Linked DNA regions of Ovis aries. The protein of the gene in region 2 purifies or fractionates together with the protein of the main gene of each other region. This does not show direct contact. Links are inferred from orthologs where the notes say so. Each region holds a gene or a part of one and is shown on either strand. Other genes may lie near its edges.

Region 1 (2,854 bases), on a different chromosome or scaffold from region 2:
ACGGTCATTTTTCACAAAGGAATTCCCCAGGCTTACTCGGTAATACCAAAATTCCATAATGGAAGTTACCTCACATGTCAAATTGGACCGGGGCTGGGGGGAGCTGCGGGGGTACGTTTAAGTATTATTCTGAGATGCTACAAAATCACTAGGCTGGTCAAAAAGCAGTGATTAGAACCAAGGAAAATTAGTCTTTCTTGAGAAGATAGATACTCAAAGAACCTAAGAACAGGATAAAGTAAACAGAATCATGCCACAGGGCAGACACGTAAACTGACATTACAGCACTTTTTTAAAATTCTCATGGTATTTGCTTATTTTGTATTATCTTGAAGACAAGCGGATTATGACCTTCCAAAATACCAAAAATGTCCTGAAATCTTATCAATTCCTTTCCTTAAAGGAATGAGGCCTTTGAACCACAAACACCATGACACCTGCAGGGGTTTCCGTAAGTCATGCATTTCATAACCCACATCGCCACACAGCGTGCTCCCTGACACCCGCCTCAGGACACGACAGACACAACAAGCTATCGAGCAAGAATCTGTTAACAGTTTTATTATTTTTGTGTTAAATACCATTGGACAGGATTGGAAGGATGAAAAACTCAGTCAACAACTGCCTCACAAGGGATAAGAAAAATTCTGCCATGATATTAGCAAAGGTGAAGGAGAAAATTTACACTGTACGAGGCACCATTTCCCCACAGAATACCTCTTGGCATTTCCTGAATGAGTGGGATTAGCAATCTAAATAAATCATATTTCAAGAGGTAACAGCAACAGATAAAATTTAAAGGGATTATTAAAATAACATTTACAAGACTCTGAACAATTCTTGAACTCTTATTAAAACCACAAAGAAAGAACAATTCTTTATTTATGAATTTCATAAAGGACTGAATGTGCAATGACGCCTGCTAGGGACGGTCTGATGGCGGTGGCGCTGTCCGGAGCCCAGCACTCTGCTCTTACGCGTTTCTTTCTAACCGTGAGACCGTTACGGGCGAGGCCTACATGACGCTGTACACACAAAGCATGGCCACCGTGGGCCACATGGTCACCGTGGGCCACACTACCAGTGAGATGGCAGGTAAACGAATCTTTTCTGGTCAAGAGGAAAAAAAGAAATAGCACTCTGCATGCTCCACTCTACAAGATGAACTTCCCTAGAAAGAATCCAATGAAAATGGCTGCAATGACAACAAGGAGTGAAGGAAGAGGACTGGTGACGTTCTCTCTGAAGGACACAGCTGAGGTGGATCCAGGTTTATCCGAATGTGCTACCTTCCTGAGCCGTAAGCCTTCATCCTAGGAAAAAACACAGGCACAAAAAGAGGTTTCAAAGACAAATGTGCATCAGACCACAAGCTACAAACCCACAGGCAGACAACAGAGCCATATGCAGGTGACCTGGGGGGCCCACAGTGTCCTCACAACGGGCCCTTCAGCCACAGACGACCAGAAACAGGTCAGTGCTAGTCAGAGTCCAGCTTACAGACACATGGCAAGCCAGCCCCACACAGGAAGAGCCGGGACCCTGCGGGACTGAGGGAGAGGGAGGGTGTGAGTAAAGGGCTGGCACCCGGCCTGGACCACGGAGGAGACACAGGACCCTGTTTTGTGAGAAAGGCGGGACCCAACAGAGGGGGAGAGCTGCTCGCAGGACCCCGCCCCAAGGCTCTGCGCCTGGACTGGAGACCGCTTTTCTGCAAGGTGATCTCCACTTCCAGACCAGAGCGGCCGCTCCATCCTGACTGATGCTGTCTCACACAGTAGTTTCTGACAGTCAGTCTGGGACTTTAGGGGACAAGGTTCTCAGTAACATGACAGCAGTCACTCAAAGCAGGAGGCTGTTACGACACTTCACCAGCTTCAGAATGACCTGTGCGCCAAGGCAGCCGGCTCCACCTGGCCTGCCACCGTGACCAGAGCGGGGGCACCACTTCACCTCCTCAGCACAGGCCGGTCTCACTTCTCGCACTGCACCCCCGGTGCGTTCTCCAGTAACACCACATGCACTGGGCGCCACGCTGTCTGCCTGCATGACCGGCTGCTCGGAGGGGCTGTGGGTTTGGGTCTTGTTCTGGTTAGTCCTATGTGGACACAATGACTCTCGGTCCCAGAGAGAACTGTAAAAGGCACTCCAGATGACTCTGCCTCCCTGGGTCTGGAGTGTGGCCCGGACATGGGGTAAGAGTTCACAGCACACTCGATGAACAGGCTGGATGAGGAAGCGGGGGTGGGGAGGTGAAGGGCAGTGGGGAGATCCTGCCCAGGAAGGCTGCCGCAACGCCAGCCTCGATGTGAGCTGTTAAAGGGCCAGAGGTCAACTCAGTGCACCAGCGGTCTTCAGGGTTCTTTCATCTTTTAAAAAGTAGGATGCTTCTTCAAACAGCATCTCCTAGAGAACATCAGTCAATTCCATCACCTGTCTCCCAGCCTGGCAGTTCCTGGCATTCAGGCCTCAGCTCTCTGAACACCTGGGCTCAGCAGCCAGGGAGCACACCGTCCACCAAACACAGAACTGAGGTCATGGCAGGTAAAGGAAAAGGGCAAACAGCAGCCCCCTTACAACTGGATGGAGCTGTGTGTGGTTGTGAAACAGAGGGCATCTCTCCACCCTCCAGGTAGGTGTTCAGGGCAGGGGCCTTGGAGAGGGGCTTGGGAGAGGAAGAAACAGCCAGAAAAACCATCTCAGCACAGGTCAAGCCACCTCACAGGGGCCTTCAATGGGAGCCATGCACGAAATTTAAAATTTTCTAAGCCCATTAAAAAGGTACTAAACTTGATAAAATTAGCTTTAATAATGTATCTTTTACTGAATCTAATAGAATTCAATATTATTTCAA
Region 2 (4,339 bases):
CTGTCAAGACTGGACACAGGGCACCATAACCATCCTGGTCTGTGTGACTGAAACCTTCCCATTTGGGATCCACCCCCTGCCATTTATCCAATCCTTTCTAAGACTTGATTACATTTTCTCTTGTACCTGGGTTCTCCTGGCAACATGGAAGCTCCTTTCACTGCCTCCCTTCAGCTCCTGTGTGACTCTGTTGACACAGCCATGGCTGGTTGCTTAGGGTGTGCACTGCACAAGTCTGGGCTGCTCTCACAGGACTACAATGCAATGACCTTGGAGTCAGGCACTAGGGCGGCTCTGAGACCCAAACCTCTATCTCTAGTCAATGGTCCCCTTGGCCAGATTTAGACAGAACACCTCATAGGCCACAGAGCAGACTCTTTCATTCACAGGCCAGATTCTCACAGCCTTCACCCTTCCCCAGTTCTAATGTCACCCCCAGGGTGAAGGCCTGATCATTTCTGTCAGTCTGTCCATCCACAGTAGATGGTCCTGAATAGCCACCCCTGTCTGTGTCACATCCCATCCTTGGGTCTCAGTTTCTCTAGCTGTAAAGAGAAGGACCTGAGCCCCTGTCGCCAAGGACTCCCTCTGTTGTAAAGCTCCCCAGTCCATCCTCACAGACTTCGATCTCCATGCACACATTACTGCCTGCTGTCTTCAAGTCAACAAGCTTAGAAGGCTTAGGAAGAGAAGGGACTTTTACAAAATGCAAAGGAGCCTGGAAGAACTCAGAAGAGGAGGAGTAATCCGATCTTGCTAGGGTCGATCCCAAAGGCTCCTTGGGGTGGCAGCTGAGCGTGGGAGGGAGAAGCTTGGGCTGTTGGACCCATGGAGGAGAAAGGCGGGGAGGGGGGGTCCATGCTGCCCTGAGGGAAAGGGCCAAGCATGAAATTGCAGCAGGAAAGACAAGATGTTAGAATAGCACGAGGCACCGATGCTCAGGGCAGAGCAGTTCTTCACCTGTCACAGGAACAAATTCCCACGGACTCTTGGTCTAGAGACCAAATGACACACGGACCAAGGTGGAAGGGCTGGAACCTCTGAGGGTAACATTGGAGAAAATCCATCGTTAGAAGTCCTTACAGTCTGGCCCGACATCCAGGCTCTGCCCAGACCCTCTGGGCCACCTGGATGGAGGTATTTCTTTGAGTTTCGGTTTGCAGATGTTTTCAGAAGGGAAGAGTAACACTTCCTGCCTCCCGGGATGGTGGTGCACATTGCCTGGTGCCTAGTAAAAGCAGCGATTGTTAACTGCTGTTGTGTTGACGGTGTTCGGGTAGGTGAAGTGTGCAAGGGGCGTGCATGAACTTGCACATGCATGCACACAAGGCGCGAGGACAGTGTGGGGGACACACACCTGCCATGTGCTCTTGTGTGAGTAATTGGGGTGGGCAAGGACCCAAGGAGACCGCCTTTTCCAGCCCCATGGGTGTCATCTCCTGGTGCCTCCCTTTGGAGAGGAAAAGGGAGGGAAGTGAGAAAGGGAGTGTTTAGATGTGTTCCTCACTGGCTGTGTCGCACACAACCAGCCCCACCCAGACAGGACTCCAGGGGACAGAACAGGAGTATATTCTCAGGCACCCAAAGCACACACCCAGCATATGTATAGGAGCATCGGGACCTGGTCCAGGATCAGGGCAGCATCCAAGGGGTGGCAGTGGCTTTACACACACACAGCCCAGCAGAATCCACTCCAAGTGTGTGCAGAAGTGAACTCACACTCATTCCATCTCTGCCACCACTGACGGAGAGAGGGTGGGGTTCGTGCCAAACCATTGCTGAGTCCGAGGGGGTGCCATGGCACCTGCCAACGTCACAGGCTGGGTGTGAGTGCATAGGAGATTTACACATGCCAGCCTCGAAAGCCGGCCCTGCTGCGACCAGGCTTGCTGCCACCCTCGTTGCAGCGCCCTCTCAAGTCACCCTCGGGCCCAGAGAGTGCGAACAGGGGCAGCGTCTGGTCCACCTCCTCATCCCAGTGCCCAGCTCTGGGCCTGGCACAAAGCAGATGTTGGTGAATGAACGTCTGGCCGAATGAATGAAGAAATGACTAACGCCCACTCCCTCACACCCCGGACCACACGGCCTGGGTCTGGGGGAGGGCAGAGCCCTGGGGACCGCAGAAGAGCACCCCCCACCCTTCAGACTTCGGGCCCCGAGGCTCTGCTTCCCAGGGTCCGGGAGGGGGAGGGGGCGGGACGGCTCACAAGCCGGTGTGGAGCGGAGCACCCCTCCTTCCCCAGAAGAAATCTGGGTCTCCTGCCTGAGCTGGGGGCGGGGAGGCGGGGGGTAGTTGGTTGTCGCGCCCTGGATAGCGAGAGCGGCAGGACAAGGGGGCGCGTCCTGGTTGGCGCTGGGGTTGGGGCGGGGGGCGTGGGATAGAGCGGCAGCCGCGGGACCTCGCCTTCGTTCCCCGCGCCCGGGTCTGCCCAGGGTCTCGGGAGGGTGGCGATCGTTCCCCTCCGCCGGGCCGGGCAGGGGCGCCGCGGACCTAGCCCTTTCCAGAGGGGCGGTGGCGAGGGGACGCGGTGTCCCACGAGGTGACCGGGGGCGCAGGAAGGACGCGGGGCGCGCGGAGCCCCCTCTCCACGCTCCCAGGGGGCCGGCCGCGCCGCCGCCCGCTCGGCCCGCCCAGAACCTCCGCCCACCTGCGCCGGGGGCTCACCTGGACCGGCGGCCCCCCCACCTCGAGCCGCGCGAGTCCCTCCCCCCGCTGGCGGCCCGGCCCTCCCGGCGCCCGCCCTCACCTGCACGGCCCGCCTTGGCCATGGCCCGGGCGGCGGGCTCCGGCGGCGCTGCGCGCGCTCCTCGCGGCTCCCAGCCCAGTCCCGGCCGCCCAGCCGCCTCCGGCCGCGAGCGGACTCCGAGCGCCGCGCCCCGCGCCCCCGCCCCGCTCGCCGCGGCCGCCGCCACCGCAGCCGCCGCCGCCTCGCCGCTCCCTCCCGCTCCCTTAAAGGCGCCGAGCGGCGGCCGCGCCGGCCCCCCCGCGCTGCCGGGGAGGGCCTGACGGAGGAAGGCGCCCAACGCCGCCCCCGCGGGCCCGCACTCCCGCCCGGGGCCGCGGCCGCCGCTCCAACACGCTCCGCTCCGAGCCCCGGACGGGCGCGGAGACGCGGAGACACTGCGGTCCGGGCGGAGATGGGCACGCGGACCTGGAGTCGGGGGCGAGAGCCACGGACACTGGGCACTAGAGACACCTCTGGGGCCGAAACCCCGACGGGAGAGGGGGAGAGAAATTCGGAGCAGACTCGCTTCCCTGGCACCTGGAGAGTGACGGAGAGCAGAGAGGAGAGACAGGAAGAAGGACCTGGGGAGGGCTCCCGGGAAGCCAAGAGGGAGGTGGCTCCAGGGATCGGAGGCGAGATGGACCCTCCATCAGCCCCCAGTCCAAGGAATCGTTTTCTGGGATCCAGAACCTGGGTGTAAACTAGCCTCAGACGGGAAGGGATTTCTGTGCCCTTAGCTCTAAAAGAAGGTGTAAAAACACATGCAGAGCCCCCCTGGGATTCCAGGCTGGAGCAGTTTGGGGAGGCCAGGAGCCTAGCGGTGAGCAATAGCCCACTTTCGCTTCCCAAACCTAGGGGGCAGACATCCTGGTGAACAGGCCTAGCAGAGGCTAGGAAGGTTGGTGTTGTGGCTTCTGCCTGGTGGTGGCCAGGGATTCACGGTCCAGCCCCAAAAGGGGATGAGAGAAGGCCAGTTGTCTCACTGGCACTTGGGGGGGGGGGTAGCCAGATGGGAGGCTCAGGGGAGAGAGCAGTCTTATCCCTAGCCCAGGGCTGGGCCAGATCCATGGGCCCAACAGATGGCTGACCAGGCTCTGGCAGCTCCCAACACCCCCATAGCCGGCTGCCTGGCTGTCTGCTGCTGGAGAGGGCTAGGGGGTATCTGTTCTCAGGTGACTTTTCAACCTCCCCCAAGCTAAGCTCCCTTGGGAAGATACTCTCTGCTTCCTTCCGAGGAACTGGAAAGGGCTAAAACCCAGTTGCAACCTGTAGCCAAGCTCCCCACCCACCCTGTCGCACTCCGGCTGTTCAGGGAAAAGAATAATTCCATGCTCAGGCTAGCCACGGTCCCAGCTCCAGGGTCCCATTAACCCGTCTATAGAAACAGGGCACGCATGGGGCTAAACGGGTCCTCAGCGGGCATTTGGCCCAGCATTGACTCCCTCACTCTGGGACTTTGTCTCCATCCACAGGATCCCCCTCAAGTGGCCCTTCGGCTGCTGGTTTATTGCATCCAAGGACCAGGAGCTCAGTATCTCAAACAAGAGTTTTTCCATCTTTGGACACTGCTGATCGTGGGAATGTTTCCCCTTGTTTTAGCTGAACTCTGCACA

Evidence for each region.
Region 1: the proteins of PITPNM3 (region 2) and VAPA purify together in Homo sapiens (co-immunoprecipitation; 3 studies listed by BioGRID and IntAct, with this or other methods). This does not show direct contact. The link is inferred for Ovis aries from reciprocal best matches to the Homo sapiens genes PITPNM3 and VAPA.

Annotation. Positions count from the first base shown.
Region 1 is NC_056076.1:42,442,179-42,445,032, reverse strand, and holds the end of VAPA (vesicle-associated membrane protein-associated protein A), read right to left. Parts: intron 1,314-2,854; coding exon 1,155-1,313; 3' UTR 534-1,154; downstream 1-533. UniProt on the Homo sapiens protein: Endoplasmic reticulum (ER)-anchored protein that mediates the formation of contact sites between the ER and endosomes via interaction with FFAT motif-containing proteins such as STARD3 or WDR44.
Region 2 is NC_056064.1:25,206,019-25,210,357, reverse strand, and holds the start of PITPNM3 (membrane-associated phosphatidylinositol transfer protein 3), read right to left. Parts: upstream 2,866-4,339; 5' UTR 2,770-2,865; coding exon 2,748-2,769; intron 1-2,747. UniProt on the Homo sapiens protein: Catalyzes the transfer of phosphatidylinositol and phosphatidylcholine between membranes (in vitro). Binds calcium ions.